Linked DNA regions of Neurospora crassa OR74A. The protein of the gene in region 1 purifies or fractionates together with the protein of each later gene. This does not show direct contact. Links are inferred from orthologs where the notes say so. Each region holds a gene or a part of one and is shown on either strand. Other genes may lie near its edges. The genes, in order: NCU04121 and NCU09688.

Region 1 (8,715 bases):
CGGTCGCGCCACATGGCGGACGCCGGAAGGGCGAAAGGCTCCCTTCACCTCGGTTGCACGCCGAAGGCTAGTCGTCGTCTCGGTCAGAGGTGAGAGTCAATTGATGGTAGTTAGTGGTAATGGCGGTCCAGAGGCGGATTGGAATGGGTATGGCATCACATCGCATCGCATGGACACGGCTGTGTATGTGGTCGAGGTTGAGTTGCCAATGTCTCCGTCCCTGGTCGATCTTCCCGGGGGGAAATGTTTCTAGGCCTCTCTCTTTCACTACCTACCTACCTATGTAATAACAGCAACAGGGCCAGTAGCACTGGGCAGCTGCTACCACTGACAATGACGCTGACGCGGCGGTTCAGAAACACAATGCTGGCCAGTTCCAGGGATGGGGGGCATGAATAACATGGGATGCATGTCACCTGTCAGGCACTTGGGGCCCGCCAATAAGGGGTAGCCTTTGTCAGTGTCTCAAAGAGTCGGTCAGCTGGCAGCCTGGGGGACGGGAGCTTTCAGCCTGTTAACAGTCTGGCCCGTCTGTCCTGGGCTGGGGCTGACGACCTACACCTCCAGTGGTGATGTATCCCATGCAGAGGTTCCAGGTAGGTTGCAGCACCTGCGAGACGCCGGGATGGGCTCCAGGGCATCTTTAGTTTTAGTCTCATTTTAGCGAGTGTGTTACAGTTAGGTAGGGAGGGACCCCGCCCCGCCTCCCTCCACTCCATGCTTCGCAATCGGCGGCCCAGCTGCTCATTTAAGGAACGTCGAACTAGGAGAACGGGGACTTGGACCTACCTGGTAGGTAGCCAACGGGTCTCGTTCGTTTCTACTGGGGGACCTCCATATCTACCACTTCCAAACCAGAACACCTTCGAAATCCTCCTTCGAACACATCCAACTATCTCACACGCTCGCTCTCCCCAGACCCTCTATCCACCCCTTAATACTATATCAAGATGGTATGCTCATTCCTTATCTCGGTGCCTCCCGGTCGAATCTGTTTGAGCGCAACAAGAACCCCGCGGGTTAGCTCGAGGGGCTGCGGCCGGGCTGCGAACATACGATGATGGCTGGAAAGGAGACGGGTGACTGACAAGGCTATCAACAACAGGCGGACTCCCTTACTGAAGAGCAGGTCTCTGAGTTCAAGGAGGCCTTCTCCCTTTTTGTAAGTTGTTTTTCTTGCGCCGAGCTTCCTTGTCGCCTATGCTCAATCCCCTGTGTCGCCGTTTGGCGCAAATCGTGCGAGCCTGATGACTGACCCGACACAACGTGACACAGGACAAGGACGGTGATGGTTAGTCTTCCGAAACCCTACCCCCCCAGATATCCGAATTCATCCACCACCAAGTTAGCGGCAAGCGCCTTGGATCATAGTAGTTGCGACGCACCCAACGCTTCTCACCGCCCGCCCCTGAACCGAGTTGCGATGTGAATACGAGCCCTACCGTAATGCACGCATACTGAACAGCAGCTAGGCCAAATCACCACCAAGGAGCTCGGTACCGTCATGCGCTCGTTGGGCCAGAACCCCTCCGAGTCTGAGCTTCAGGACATGATCAACGAGGTCGATGCCGACAACAACGGCACCATTGACTTCCCTGGTATGATATAAACATTTCGGACTATGGACCTGCCAGCTCGCCGCTGACAATAGCCTATAGAGTTCCTTACCATGATGGCCAGAAAGATGAAGGATACCGACTCCGAGGAGGAGATCCGTGAGGCCTTCAAGGTGTTCGATCGCGACAACAACGGCTTCATCTCCGCTGCCGAGCTCCGTCACGTCATGACCTCCATCGGCGAGAAGCTCACTGATGACGAGGTTGATGAGATGATCCGTGAGGCCGACCAGGACGGCGATGGGCGTATCGACTGTACGTCTTCAATTCATGCGACTCAGCCTGGGTATAGCTTACTAACACCTTGTTTCCAAACAGACAACGAGTTCGTCCAGCTCATGATGCAGAAGTAAACGGCTTTCTCCTATATTCCAACTCTACACGAAGACAGGTTTTAGCGTTCTCTTTGAATACCACTATTAGTTGATATGCCTCCATTCGGATGTGAAGGGATCGCTTTGTTTCCCACGCTTGGTATGTTATGCAAGGATCACCTGTGTTCTCGTGGTTGCGCGTTATGCTGGACTGTTACCTCTCCTCCTGCCTCAAACCACCGAGTTCGGGAAGCAATGGGGTGAAGTTGACATGGATTGACGCTAGCACCTCAAGTTTCTCTCCGTTTGACTTTGTGTCCGTGGCGGTTCGTCTCCAAAGCAGTTATCAATCAAATCTTACTCCGCCTTTGCTAGTGAGGAGCCATTACCCACGGTGTTGTCTCCCAAGTGGAAGCTGTACCACATGAGCAAAGGAGCACTTCCGTCCGGAGGTTCAGATGAAACCCTACTGTTTGCTACATAAACTTTTCAAATGCACAGCTGCTGAGTTCACGTCATCAGGGACCACCAGCAAGACCGGAGACCTGTCAACGAGTGGGGATGACCTGCAGGATGATTGTGGCAGTGTTGCCTAGCGACATCAACCATCAAGCCCAGGCCGAATATGTGGATATCATCAGCCCTATAGGGATTTCCATATCGTACACATCCGTACGGCACAGCATCTAGAAAATCAACTCATCTCCCGATCACCGTTGATGTATGGAGGATCAGGTCATTGTCGGTCAGTGATGGCTGTAGGTTGCGCTGAGGCTGTTTGCTGCTTGTGATGCCCTCGTCAATTTCATCAGTATTGTGACCATAGATGAACCGCATGTTCCCCAAAACTGAAGCTCGATGATACAGTATTCGCACAGTCAATTGTCATATGGCCGAGCTTGTCAGTTGACAAACGCTCATTGCTGTCTTGTTGAAAAGCAAATAGTTAAGCATTGCTGTCGCCCTCATGCTCGATGTGTTCAGGACTGGTCCAGTACAGAATCAGCACTGACGGTGATGATGAGTAGCCTATTAACTTTTCTTCAGGACTTGAACAAGCTTTACATGTGTTTAGCCTTCCTTCTTCAACAAATCGCCGGCGTCTCATGCAAATCTTGACGGAACTCATGCTCTTATTCATCTTTCATCCTCACAGATCTAAGCGGTGACAAGATAAGGCCGCCCTACGTAGGTATCAAGAAGAGCAATGTCTGATGCTGTGGCTGGTCTCGGACAGGACATTCATCATTTTGACCCTAACCCTGATTACCCCTTTTCCGGCGAGGCCGTCAGGGTGCCTGACAAGACGGTCTAGGCCCCACCTTCCCGCCGTACCGAGTCGTTGCATCGCAGCTGAGGAACAGCACCGTGACCTGTCCAGGGTCCCTGAGGTCCATGCTTTTCAGAGAGTTTGGCGCCTGCCGTCGCGTCGTTGCCGGGAAGCTTTGCAGCAGAGAGGTGCCTGCCTGAGGCCACGAGTCCCAGTACTGTAGTACCTACCTCTAGTGTACCTACCTAGGTATCTACTGCTGCCGTGGTGCTGACCGTCACCGTCTGCCTGGGGCTGGGAGCGGGCTGGGAGAGGTCAAGTCAAGGTGGGGGGTGGACACACACGGTCAAGAGGAGCTCCAATAAGCGCATTCCATGGCCACATCGCACGCCCGCCCATTGTGTGCTGGGCTTCCACTTGTCGTGTTTCGGCCGGGTTCCCAAAAAGATGATCCTCTCTCATGAATGTCTACGTACCGCTGCTTTACCGTATCGTAACTTTGTCCATTGCGTGCCTCTACTTTCTTCGGATACCCCTTGCTTGAAATTCCAAAGAACCGCCATCCGCTCTCCGTTCCGCAGCTCCCCCGCCATCTCGAGAGCTCAAGCATCCGCTACCACTTCCTCTCTGGTCCAGATCCCCTAGACAGGCCCCCTTGCGGGCCCCTAATGATTGCATCGCCATGAGTTCCCGTAAGTGAGCCACCGGCATCGCCATGGTCCCAAGCCTCGAGCGACCAGGACGAGGCCAAAACTGACGCTTGTAATCGGCAAACAGTCAAGCAGTTTATTCGCAATGTCCGAGCCGCAAAGACCATCGCCGACGAGAGAGCCGTAATCCAGAAAGAGAGCGCCGCCATAAGGGCCAGCTTCAGGGAGGAGAGCCACGATCACAGCGTCAGGTGCATCTGAGCTGCCAATACCCAAGCTTCCCCGGGATCTCGGTTTGCTGATCAACTGTGTCATTGCAGGCGCAACAATGTGGCCAAGCTATTATACCTCTTCACCCTCGGTGAGCGCACTCACTTCGGTCAGATCGAGTGTTTGAAGCTCCTGGCCTCTCCGCGCTTCGCCGACAAGCGTCTGGGCCATCTCGCGACAAGTTTGCTGCTCGACGAAAACCAGGAAGTGCTTACTCTGGTTACCAACTCATTGCAAAAGTATGGTGCCCAGGAAGACGATTATGGGTGCGCAACGTGATGCTGACGCTCGGCTCGACAGTGATCTTAACCATTCGAATCAGTATGTGGTGGGCCTCGCCCTCTGCACCCTCGGAAACATCGCATCGGTCGAGATGTCTAGAGACCTGTTTCCCCAAATCGAAACACTTATATCGACGACAAACCCATACATCCGGCGCAAGGCAGCTCTGTGTGCGATGCGCATATGCAAAAAGGTCCCGGATCTCCAAGAACACTTTGTCGAGAAGGCGGCGCAATTACTATCGGATCGCAACCATGGCGTGTTGCTTTGCGGCTTGACATTGGTGACCAGCCTTTGTGAAGCTGACGAGGCCGAGGGTGGGGAAGAGGGCATCATTGAGAAGTTCAGGCAGTTCGTGCCGGTACTCGTGAGGACTCTCAAAGGACTGGCTTCTTCCGGTTATGCGCCGGAGCACGACGTTACGGGCATCACCGACCCGTTCTTGCAGGTCAAGATTTTGCGCCTTCTCCGAGTCCTGGCCCGCGGCGATGCTCAGACTACGGAGCAGATCAACGATATCCTCGCTCAGGTTGCGACCAACACCGACGCTACTAAGAACGTTGGCAACTCGATCCTTTACGAGGCCGTACTGACGATTCTCGATATCGAGGCCGATGCCGGCTTGCGCGTGCTGGGAGTCAACATCCTCGGCAAGTTCTTGGCTAACAAGGACAACAATATCCGTTATGTTGCGCTAAACACGCTGGTCAAGGTGGTGGCCATCGACACCAACGCTGTACAAAGACACCGGAACACCATTTTGGAGTGCCTTAGGGACCCCGACATCAGTATCAGGAGGAGAGCTCTTGATCTGAGTTTCACCCTAATCAACGAGAGCAACGTCCGCGTCCTTATCCGAGAATTGTTGGCTTTCCTGGAAGTGGCGGATAATGAGTTTAAGCCTAATATGACTAGCCAGATCGGTATCGCCGCTGATAGGTACGCCCCGAACAAGAGGTGGCATGTCGATACGATGCTCCGTGTCTTGACGTTGGCCGGTAACTACGTCAAGGAGCCCATCCTGTCCTCGTTCATTCGCCTTATCGCTACGACTCCCGAGCTACAAACGTACGCCGTGCAAAAGCTTTACACCAACTTGAAGAAGGATATCACCCAAGAAAGTCTGACGCAGGCCGGCGCGTGGTGCATCGGTGAATATGGCGACGCTCTTCTCAGGGGTGGTCAGTATGAGGAGGAGGAGCTCGTACAGGAGGTCAAGGAGCATGAACTTATCGACTTGTTCACAACCATCTTGAACAGCAACTACGCTACCCAAGTCACCACCGAGTACATCATCACGGCACTCATCAAGCTCACCACTAGGCTGCAAGACGCAACCCAAATCGAGAGAGTTCGCCGTCTGCTTCAGTACCACCAGACAAGTCTGGATGTCGAAGTTCAACAGCGTGCGGTGGAATACGGCAACCTGTTTTCTTTTGATCAGATCCGTCGTGGTGTGCTTGAGAAGATGCCTCCTCCTCAAATCAAGGAGTCCTCCCGAGTACTTGGTGAAGCTGCCAAGAAGACCACCAAGGCGGCGGGCAAGAAGACTAACAAGGCTGCCAAGCCCAAGGAAGAGGATCTCTTATTCGACCTCATGGGAGACACCAATCTCCCGTCTCCTTCTGTTCCCAACGGCGGGACGAACAATGCCGACCTCCTTGCCGATATTCTCGGCGGCACCACTTCGCCTCCGACCTCGGCCTCGCCGGCTCCCGCACAGTCAAACGTTGCCTCGATCATGGATCTCTTTTCGCAGGGACCTACCTCCACTCCGTCTCCCGCACCTGCACCAGCGGCTGCTCCATCAGCAGTCCTTGATCTCTTCAACACCACTCCGGCCGCCGCTTCGGCTCCGGCTCCTCAAGCGGCGCCCAAGCCCGCTGCTGCGGCCGGCCATGCTTGCTACGACAACAACGGACTGAACGTCACCATCCAAATACAGCGAAATGCCGAAGGCATGATCCAGGCTACGGCTCGCTTCCGCAACTCGTTCCCTGGCGGTCCGCTTTCGGCTGTCGGGTTGCAGGCGGCGGTGCCCAAATCTCAGAAGCTACAGCTGCTCAATATTTCGTCGACGGATATTGCGCCGGGGGCGGAGGCGACGCAAATGATGAGAGTCGCGGGTTGCACTGGGGTAGGTTCAATTCAGTTTATGTCCTTTTTCCATATTTAGATAAAGTTGCTAACAAGTTTTGTGCACAGGCTTTGCGTCTACGTCTCAAGATAGGATATACACACCCTACGGCGGGACAGGTATTGGATCTGGTCAACTGGACGGAGCCCTCTTGAATGGACGATGGGGAAGGATGAGTTATGGAGGGGGCAGCAAGGGTGAGAGGGGAGAGAGAAGAAAGAGTGATCGTAATGTTAACGTATTAGCTATTGAATGGTCAAGTCACATACCCTTTGATTACAGGGTAGACCACAGAGTACCGACAAGAAACAGGACAAGGTATAGAGAGGAAACCAAAACGAAGCAGCCGATTTATTGCCAAGGCGTACATCGTTACTAAGTCTACTATTCTTTTGCAGACTGTTTGCCGAGGGCTCAAGCATGCGTATTTCAAGTTACTATCTATCCCCTTCTCTTCACCCAAAAGGCTGTGAATCTCCATAGTAAGCACTCGGTCATTGCGCTTATCACTTTAGCACCAACCCTCTGTTGACATTTGGTTTTATTTGTTCATCTCCCACTACTCAAGTCCAGCAATCTCTCACCCTTTCCTCTTCCGACCATGGTTGATGATCAGGCAGTCAGCCCGGTATTACTAACAAGAGTTTTATATCCATAGCTCGTGCTATCCATCTGTCATTTATCCAACACAATGTGCCTGTTTGGCGCCGCCATTAACGCCCTCTTTGTGGTGTAGGTAGGTATAAATATGCAAGTGATTGCACATGAAAAATTGTTGAGAAACAAAGACAAAGGAGAGAAAAGAAACAAAAAGAAGAAGAAGAAGAAGATGCCTCCTCCATAAAATACATGGTATCTTTTTTTTTGGTGCTTGTTTTTGGTTTGATTTTCCACATCCGATATTCAGTCACTGAGTGACATCCCAGAAGAGTTTTTTAGTTGCCATAAAACCAGTACCTATTTTTCCAACAATGTTAGCCACCATCCCGTCCCGTCTTTGTTTACAAAGTTTTCATGAGGTAGTTTTGAAGGGATAGATAAAAAAAAAAGACTTACTGAGCAGCATACTGCACCTCGAAATGCTCCGGCATCCCCTGACACGTCTCGGGCGCGCTTCCTCCCGCCGTCTCTACCCTATACACCTCCTGCAGTCCGCCCGTCGCTCCCGGGCGTGTAACCAACTTCAACCAAGCAACCGCCTTTTCCCCTTGCTGGCCCCTCGGCGCCGCTTCTGGGGCAGGCGTACTGCTGTTCTTGGCACACGGCGCCTCACCAATCTTCCACTGCGAGGCATCCATGTTGAAAAAGGGCGTGGATGCGTTGGTGAAGTAGTGAGCGCCTGAGACGGCCATGCCGGAGGTGGGCGCGAGGGTCTGTTTGAGAAAAGAAGGAGGGAAAGGGAGGGCGGAAGCGACGGAGGAAGCGATGGAGGCGAGGTCGGAGAGGTTGAAGTTCAGGGAGACAGTGGACAACATGGCGCCGATGTCGGGGTAGGCGGAGACGATGCAGGAGGCGTTGAAAAGAGAGGCGACGGCGCCATTGGCGACGGGAGCCGCGGTGGGGGTGGAAGGGTCGCAGGTGTAGTTTTGGGTGCCACGGCCGAGGGCGACGTGGCGGAGGGTTAGGCCGAAGGAAGGAGGTGGAAGGGGAGAGGGAGCTGGAGAGAGGGTGAGATTTTTGTTAGTATGAGCTCAGGTAGGTGAATGAGAGGGGATGGGCTGAGAGGCTTACCTTGGGGCATGACCACCTTGGAGAGATCACATGTTGGTACGGCGCTCTCGAACTTGCTTTGTTGGATCTTGACCGCGAGGAGGTTGAAGTACTCTGATATTTTCTTGAGGGAGTCGGCGGGAGCTGAGTGGGCGTTGATCTCAGGGAGTAGTGGGGCGGCCATAATGGAGGAGACGCTGAGCGCCGAGAGGAATAGTGAGGCACGCATTGTGATGTTGTGTTTGTTGTTGTGTAGTGTGATTGAGAAAGATGATCAAGTAAGTTGTTGCTTTTTGTCGTTGTCCAATAATGAAAGCCGCCTTCCTAAAGAAAACTAATAACCACCAGTGGTTCTTTTTGTTGCCGAGACTGGGTATCGTGATGATGATGATGATGATGAATAGGAAATCGTCGAAACCCGTTAAGAGACGAACAGAACCCAGGAAACCCGTGATATAAGAAAACC
Region 2 (8,823 bases), about 4.1 Mb from region 1:
AGGTGTATGGATGCTTGCTGTGTGGGAAGGCGCAGACTTCAAGACCGGAAAAAGAATTGGATCGTGGGTAATTGTCAATGCTTGAGACAAGGTCCCTATTTCAATCACTATCGCTGTTGAAGGGAATGTCGCCTAGTATAAACGTTAGGTAGGCGGAGTAGCAGGGAAGAAACAGAGACTCCCAAGAAAACAACAAGATCCAAGTTCGGTGAGGGTGAAGTTGGTTGTTGGTAAAAATGGCGTGGTGGTGGTGTCGAACATTAAAAAGTGGTTGGAAGAAAAGCCAATGGATGGAAACATGCCCCGGAAACATGAAGGAAGGATTCGACGAAGACGGGAGAGGACCTAAACACTCACCAACAAAAAAAAGGGCGGACCACCTCACATGTTCTGGCAGTCACGCTCGGTGACATTTTGTGCCCTGTACCTACCTAGTGGAAGACGGTGGGATGACAGGACGGTTTGTAGCGCCCGTCTTGGCCTGGAGTCAATGATGGATACTTCAGTTACTTCAGTTCAAGTTGCACTAGACTGGACTGTGCGAATTGTCTCAACTTCTTTTCCATGTGAGCTTCAAAGATATCAGATGTCAGTGGGAGAGTGGGCGGCATCTGATAGTGTATTCATGCTCGTGTATGAACTTTTTGCACCGTGGGGGGCCAAATGGGAAAAACGGAGATGGAAGAAGCTCATCAAAGCGGAAAAGCACGTGGGAATCACAAGCCCCAATTCCTTCCATACTTGTAGCGCTACCTAGTACCTAGAGGTACTTCTGGACCTTTTCACCCTTTCTCGTACATGAATGAGCCCATCGATTGACTCCGTAATCATCGTTCGAGCTTGTTATTCCTTTCAAAGCATGTCGTGACTGACTATGCGAGACCAATCCGACTACCTATGTAAGAAGGGCCTACCGAGTTTTCGGATATGGTTTAATTGGGATCCGTTCCCAAGAATTATTGGATACATGCCGTGAATCTGTAGGTGGGTTCCTCCCAACAAACATTCCATGGTGTTGTTTCTTGGTCTTTTTAGTGCCAAAGGGCAACGCCACGTCGAGGTCAGGCGGCCACAAGATGCAGCTATCTCCGAGGCTGGAATTAATCATTGCTTCTACTCTTGTGCTCGACAAACCGGACGTCCAAGGAAGCTGTGGTTTGTTTCGTTCTCTTCCCCAGTTGGGCAATCCGCATTGGGATAGCTGCCGTGGCTTTCAGCTGTTTTCACATACAATCCCCATCTTACTAGCCTTGCTGGCCAGTCCAACACTTTAGAAACGAGACCCTTAATCACACTTGCGATGCCATTTTACAATCGGTATCAGACATGATTGACACCATCGCGGACCCGTTGCAACTGTGCACGTTGACGTGCCCTGATGCTCTGCATTAGCTGCTGCTACGTATACCGCCCATGTAGGTGCTATGTACGCTGTATGTACCCCATACGCCGAGCTGCAACTCTGCGCTGGGTTCAATGGGTACTGCTGGGCTGGGGGTAAAGGCGCAAAGGAGGCCATTCATTGTGAGGTTTGTTGCTGTTTTTGTTGCTATCGCGAATCCCTCGTCCTCTTGACCCCTTCTTGACTTTCAAACGTTGCCTTTGGCACTGTTGTCCCTCCCTTGGCCGTCAATCCTACCACGTTACCATGAATATTGGCTACCAACAATCGATCGCCGTCGAGTCCAAGTACCACTAACAGTGTGAGGCCCTCTGTTTTTGGAACCACATACCACGAAAACGGGACTGGCGAAACGGGGGTGGGAGAAAGAGACAGCACACAAACATGGCCTTGGAGAGCATGTGAATTGATGATGACGAGCCTCGAACGGCACGATCGGCATCATCTCACTAACTGCATCCCAACAATTCCAGCAACATGGATATAGTAATAGCAGACATCTGCCAACTGCAACGGTATCTGTCTGTGCTTGCCGATCGCCAACAGCGATGTTGATGATCTATACAACTGAACAACTGATGTACTGTCAATCACCAGACGTACTGGCTCATCACAACTTATATAGCGGGTTCACACCTCCAAGTCTCGTACCGTCTTACCGCCCGTACTTTTGACCAAATCTTATTTCCAAGACAGCAACTTTTGGCGACTTGGGGCAAAACCGCCCATCGTATCCAGCATGTGTTAGGTAAAATAAACGGACCTAAGCCACCAAAACGGAAGAGAGACTAGTCTAGTTTGCAAACCCTTTGTCGCAGTCCCAGGGATAGCCTGTCGATCCACCATCACATGCAAGGCGAAAGACTGTCGGTTCTCCCACGGCCACTTTCTGTTTCCCTGCACCATATCGAAGCTCCTACACTACACCAATCCATCCCCACGACTACACTGGCGAGACTAATGTCCACACCAGCAGGCAGCCTTTCAGGCTTTTCCGGACACGGTCAATACCGCTAGTGGCGGGTTGTTGGATAAATCCGCATTCCGGAACATCGTGATTGTAGGCGTTCCTGACATTCAAACTCCCATTTGAATTTCCTATGTTGCGGATTTGTTGTCTTGCTCTCCCCGAAAATAAGGGTCCAGGGGTCCAGCCGCACTAATCAAGCGAGGAACAAGAGGGAGAAAAAAAGAAAGAAAACAAAATAAGGGGGAAAAGACGTTGACTCGGTGAAGCTGCCGAGATGGGATGTCTCGTCCAGAGACACATATCAGTCTACTGCGTAGCTGCCTGGCATGGCTGGCACGACTGGTCGACTGGCTCACGCCGGCGAGGAACGAAAAAAACCACCACTACCAGCGCCACGGGATTGGGAGCACCATGAGCACTAGCTGATCATCACGTGCGGATTTTGGCGTTTCTTGGGAGCTGAGCCGGTGAAACGCTCCTGACTGCGGCACCGACTCCGGCATTGACTTTCGGCAGTGTGTGTGTGGTGATATCGATCACTAATCAACCGGAGAGTGAGAGCATGTCGAGTGCAACGGGCCGACTGAACAGGTCCGCTTCCAAGTTTTCGTCCGTCATCCGTCCCCTCCGGCCAAGGAACGAAGGAATGGCTGCTCCGATCCCAAACACAAGATTTACCGGCCGGCCGGCGTGGACAGACCGCAACACGGGTGGGTGGGTGTCCGACGGCGTAAAACGATAATAAAATATAGCGCTTTGCGCGCGACACAACGATCAACGTCAAGACACACAAAAAGGTTCAAAACACCAAGAAAAAAAACAACTTCTACGATGATGGAATGTGTGGAACCTCTGACGCCGCCCTAGTAATTTTGGTCATCTTCCCAAAGGCAGACAACATACATGGGCAGCTCTTATGGAGCCATTTGAAGAAATCAATCCCCTTCTTCTCCGCGTCGCGAAATCGCAGAATCACCATAGGACACGGTTCGAACCCCGACAGAATGCCGGAGCCGATGTGCATTTGCGATGTTCGGCACTGTCTGAGGACGCGTTGAAGAAAAAAAAAGAGGAGAAAAAGGTGCAAGATTGAAAACGACGGAAGGGTTTCTCTAAAATACTTGCGAGGAGCGGAGGAATTTTGGGTGGATCTGCCAGAGAAGCACAGACCTTTTCTTTTTTTTTTCTTTCTCGAAAGACGGACAAAAGTTCAGCTGGGGCCGATGGGAAAGAGAGTCGAAAGTCTGCCCCACTTCCTTCCATCGGAACACTTGAGTTGTTGGGTCTTGCGCCGACGACGATGACCTAGAGAGCTCGAGCAGCTGGACTGGAGACCAATTAACCCCGATTCTCTGATGATGCTCCCGTCACGGAAATGAAATGGCAGCATCATGATGGAATGGAAAATGTTCACCTTCGACCCTGCCAAGACTTACCAAGCCTTTCCCTCTTGGGTGTGGATGTGACTTAGCGAGCCTGGCAAGGCTACGGGGACCAGCTGACCGACAGCTGGAGCTGAAGAAGGTTCCACGTCGAGACTTGTCACAAAGGGGCGGAAGCTCGCTGACCACGAGTGCTTGGCATTGCTGCTTGGTGCTGTGAGCTCTGTTCTGGGCTGCAGTGGCATTGCTGGCCGCCAGGGTGTTCTTGGCCTGTGCTTTTCGAGATCTGGATGCACCATCGCTTCCATGTCACCACTTGTCGCGACGTATTGATAGCGACAACTGCACACACTCGTCTTCAGTTGCAGGATAGGTATCGTGGCTTGCCCGCGCTACACCTTTGATAAACAACAACGACTGTGATACTTTGTTTGCAGTTCTTGACCCTCAGCTCCTCGACAGGATTTCAACCACCTACGGCGCATGTTATAGCCCATTGACGAACCGAGTTCGAACTCACTTTTGGCGCTCGCGCCTACCATACTCGATTACCCCCCCTAATCGTAGCTTGCGCCTTGTATTACCAGTGCCCCTCCTCCGTTTCCGTCAACACCTTCTCCTCGACCACGACGCCGACGACGACAACAACAACTCTCTACACTCAATCTCCTCAGACAACAACAGACACCACAGCTTACCATGGCGTCCGCCATTTTCTTTCTAGATCTCAAGGGCAAGGTGGGAAAATGCTCATCTGGTGGTGTCGCAAAGTCCACAGCAAAGCATCCAAAGCTGACCGCCCAATGCGCCCTCACTTAGACCCTCCTTGCCCGTAACTACCGCGGTGATATTCCCATGTCGGCCGTCGAAAAGTTCCCTATTCTATTAAGCGAAGCCGAAGAAGAGTCGTCCGCCGTACCACCATGCTTTTCCCACGAGGGTATCAACGTATGTTATCTACAAGCCCGTCGTCGTCGTCGTCCACCCTGCTGCTGCTGCTGCTGCTGCTGCTGCTGCTGCTGTTGCGAGAACCTCTTGGGCCACAGATTTGCTGAACACTTTCTTCGGTCATTTAATATATATAGTACCTCTACATCCGCCATAATAACCTGTACCTTCTCGCCCTCACAAAACGCAACACCAACGCCGCCGAGATCCTGCTCTTCCTGCACAAGATCGTCGAGGTCTTCACCGAGTACTTCAAAGCGTTGGAAGAGGAATCGATCCGGGACAACTTCGTCATCATCTACGAGCTCCTGGACGAGATGATGGATTTCGGCTACCCGCAAACGACCGAGTCCAAGATCCTGCAGGAGTACATCACCCAAGAGTCGCACAAGCTCGAAATCCAAGCGCGCCCGCCCATCGCCGTCACCAACGCCGTCTCATGGCGATCCGAAGGCATCCGCTACCGCAAGAACGAAGTGTTCCTCGACGTGATCGAATCCCTCAACCTGCTGGTCTCGGCCAACGGCAACGTCTTGCGCTCCGAAATCCTCGGCGCCATCAAAATGAAGTGCTACCTCTCCGGCATGCCCGAGCTGCGCCTGGGCCTAAACGACAAAGTCATGTTCGAGACCACGGGGCGCACCACGCGGGGAAAGGCCATTGAGATGGAAGACGTCAAGTTCCACCAGTGCGTACGCCTGTCGCGCTTCGAAAACGACCGCACCATCTCCTTCATCCCGCCCGACGGCGAGTTCGAGCTCATGTCGTACCGCTTGAACACCCAAGTCAAACCCCTGATCTGGGTCGAGTGCGTGGTCGAGTCCCACTCCGGTTCGCGAATCGAGTACATGCTCAAAGCGCGCGCGCAGTTCAAGCGCCGCTCGACGGCCAACAACGTGGAGATCATTGTGCCGGTCCCCGACGACGCCGACACGCCCCGGTTCCGGACGAACGTGGGGAGCGTGCACTACGCGCCCGAGAAGAGTGCCATCGTGTGGAAGATCAAGCAGTTTGGTGGCGGCAAGGAGTTTTTGATGCGCGCGGAGCTGGGTCTTCCTAGTGTGAGGGGCGACGATGAGCACGGCGGTGGCATGACGGGTGGATTTGGTGGCAGTATGGGTGGTGTCGGTGCCCCCGGGAAAGGAGCCAAGAGGCCGATTCAGGTCAAGTTTGAGATTCCATATTTCACCACGAGTGGGATTCAGGTGCGGTATTTGAAGATTACGGAGCCAAAGGTAAGACTTTTTTTTTTCTTTCTTTACCCATGTTTCTTCTAGCACCTGTGGCTGCTAGTTACTGACGATTTGAAACAGCTACAATACCCCTCCTTGCCTTGGGTCAGGTACATTACGCAGTCAGGAGATATCGCCGTCAGATTGCCCGACGCGGTATGAACGACGAGGACTTGGATACGGGCAAGAAGAAGCCTTGTTTTTTTTCTTCAAAACAAACGACAGATCGTGGAACAGAAAACCTACAATTTACCTACCAGCTGGGTGGGGCATGAAAGGGAGCGGCCGCAGAACAGGTATTAATTCTGGCTGCCTCATTGAACACATTGGCCTGTCCTCAGTCCCTGCCCCCAGGTCGACGAGATATGCCCTACCCAGAACGACATCCCAGGTCGTGGCTCCGATGTACAGATGGGGTAAAAGGAGAGAAGAGACTTATGGCGTATGTATAGTAATGATGGCCCTGACACGACATGGATGGACTAAGTAGAAGGGAGAAGCGGTTGGTTTATAGGTAGATGATGCGTAGGTGCCACACACCGCAACATGACGTCCATGTCAAACAATATTCGATATAATATTTCTGCATGAACACAGTCCTGTCAAGTGGTGGTCGAAGAAGTTGGAAAAGTTGGACACGCGTGAATCAGATCAGTGTGCCCGGGTCGTCATCCTCGAGTGCAAGGATGGATTGATGGGCGGTCCTGATTTGGCATGCCTATAGCCACCCGTCTCCACCTTTACTGTGGAGGAACTGAAAAGGGAAAACAAATTATTTTTCAGACCCCCACGTGTACAGGAGACTGGCAACGTTAAAGGAAGACAGGATGCCAAAAAAAAAAAAAAAAAAAAAAAAAAAAAAAAAAAAAAAAAAAAAAAAAACCTTCTCTCGATGGCCTATGTTACCGTATGCAACCGATTTCCACGATAAGGCTCAAAAGCCCGCAAAGTCAATAAAGAAACACAAGGTAGTAGTACCGAATGAAAAAGGGCCTCCCCCCCTTTTGCCCCCGAACATTGGTTGGACGAGCAGCCCAGCCCTCTCTTTGTCCAAGCCCAACTTCAGGCTAACATTACGGCAAAGGTGGGGGAAAGAAAGTATATACAAAAGACTGGCTGACACAGGCATCGCGTGATAGAAGGAAGTAAGTACTAAGGTAGTAAACAGTCAGGGGTAAAGTAAACAAGAGACGATCATCATCCACTTCTCGGCCTGCCGTGAGTGGTATTGATGGGTGCAACAGACGGGGGTAATACCAAAATGCAAAGAATACTGACTCAAGAAAAGAATGAAAGAGGAAAATCGAGATACAGACAAGTGCAACAAGGCATGAGAAAAAGAAAGAAAGAAGAACAACATGGTGACAAGACTGATGGCTCATCAATGGGTCCCGACATCTCGAACCCATGCTCGATTAGCCTCAAACTCACTGATGCTTGCAGTCTGATCTGCGTAATGTTCACTATAGTGTTCGGGGGATACTCCGGGAGCTTGATAGAGATCCAGACACACATGGACCAGGAACCCGCGGGGAATTGCGTCAGCTTGAGGGGGGTCTAATCAAGGTCAGTTGTTGAATCGTCAAATGAAATGCGGGCGATGACTTGAGAGGCTCACAGTATACTGGTGCTGAGCTAGGCCCTTGCCATAAGTTGTGCGTCCACAGCTGTTGTTCAAACACCCAACCAGGATAGCGTGGTGGACTGTGAAAGGCCATGAGACCAATTACGATGGAGATTTCTCCAGAAAGGCCTCGAGACAGCGTCTGTGGCTCTTGGTGGTTTCTGAACACCTTAGGTACCAAAGATGGCATCCATGATGGGTTCCTGCCAGCAACCCAGGGGTGCCCATACGATTCACCATTCGCTTGGGAAATGCCATTGTTGTGGTCGAAGTGTAGCATGTGCCAACAGCGGGCCGAGTCTTCGACATAGGTGTTGGTCCCATGATCGCCCACATTACGCATGTAGCTATTGTAGAGGGATATGTCTCCGTCGGCAATGATGAAGGGGAGACATGGTGAGCAGGCAAATATGCTGTGTGCCTTGTAGTGGAAAGCTTGACCCAAGAACTGGCCATGCTCATGTCTGTAGATCCCGCCAGGTTGGCCCTCAACCAACCTGCGCCACGCATACTCGGGGGCTTCGGAGACGATCCCATCTCTGTACCGAAAGACAGGCGCTTCGTTGTTAAGCCGGTAACCATTTCTAGTCAACGGCGGCAAAGTATTGTCCCATTGATCCCTGGGGGCAGGCGAGTTGCCGTAGGAAACCTCGTATTCAATCACCGAGAACAGGAAGGACACAGGCTCGACTGAAAACTGAGAGTTGTAGGTTGCGGTCGAGCTTTTCTTTGACGATGACTTGTGCTTGGAATCTCTGCCGCTGCTTCTATGATGTCGTTCACCATAGCCGTCGCCATGCAAGCTGGTTGTGGACCTTGCGTGATGGCCCTGGGAAATGTTAGCACTGTCTACGAAGCAATGAATGAGGCTGGTATACTCACGTGTGAAGTCATAGTCTCCGTGGGTTGATAGAAACCGGGGCTGGATCACCGAAGTTGAAGATCTCTGGGCCATAAGATCTATCAGAAATGACAGAGATGAGCTCCATCTTTAACCCATTTTCAACCTCCCCAAACTTCGACGAGAAACCGATGGAATGGTACGCTAACGCAGCGATGATGCCCAACAACATCCATGGTCTGTATTTTTATGAAATTAGGCGGAGCCACAACATCATCATACCACTATGATGCGGAATAAGGCCAAGTGGCTTGCCTTTACCACACCTCAAGACACGTGAGACCGGGTATGACAATATCTCGCGGAAGCCGACGGAGGTCAATACCCAGTGCGGCTTCAGATGTGACCAGCCAAAGTTGTTGTC

Evidence for each region.
Region 2: the proteins of NCU04121 (region 1) and NCU09688 purify together in Saccharomyces cerevisiae (affinity purification with mass spectrometry; 5 studies listed by BioGRID). This does not show direct contact. The link is inferred for Neurospora crassa OR74A from reciprocal best matches to the Saccharomyces cerevisiae genes APL4 and APM1.

What each region holds. Positions count from the first base shown.
Region 1 is NC_026505.1:4,910,491-4,919,205, forward strand, and holds NCU04121 (AP-1 complex subunit gamma-1), read left to right. Parts: upstream 1-3,580; 5' UTR 3,581-3,882; coding exon 3,883-3,892; intron 3,893-3,977; coding exon 3,978-4,101; intron 4,102-4,170; coding exon 4,171-4,359; intron 4,360-4,420; coding exon 4,421-6,539; intron 6,540-6,607; coding exon 6,608-6,694; 3' UTR 6,695-7,083; downstream 7,084-8,715. Other genes in the region: NCU04119 (SNARE complex subunit), read right to left, coding at 1-14; cmd (calmodulin A), read left to right, coding at 951-953, 1,106-1,162, 1,276-1,291, 1,473-1,598, 1,659-1,871, 1,935-1,969; NCU04122 (malate dehydrogenase), read right to left, coding at 7,475-7,496, 7,596-8,196, 8,271-8,478. UniProt on the Saccharomyces cerevisiae protein: Adaptins are components of the adapter complexes which link clathrin to receptors in coated vesicles. Clathrin-associated protein complexes are believed to interact with the cytoplasmic tails of membrane proteins, leading to their selection and concentration.
Region 2 is NC_026505.1:832,255-841,077, reverse strand, and holds NCU09688 (AP-1 complex subunit mu), read left to right. Parts: upstream 1-4,061; 5' UTR 4,062-4,453; coding exon 4,454-4,492; intron 4,493-4,573; coding exon 4,574-4,702; intron 4,703-4,839; coding exon 4,840-5,937; intron 5,938-6,015; coding exon 6,016-6,096; 3' UTR 6,097-6,522; downstream 6,523-8,823. Other genes in the region: NCU09687 (hypothetical protein), read left to right, coding at 875-899, 1,036-1,155, 1,420-1,529, 2,000-2,049, 2,221-2,419; NCU10659 (hypothetical protein), read right to left, coding at 7,316-7,491, 7,553-8,387, 8,441-8,452. UniProt on the Saccharomyces cerevisiae protein: Component of the adaptor complexes which link clathrin to receptors in coated vesicles. Clathrin-associated protein complexes are believed to interact with the cytoplasmic tails of membrane proteins, leading to their selection and concentration.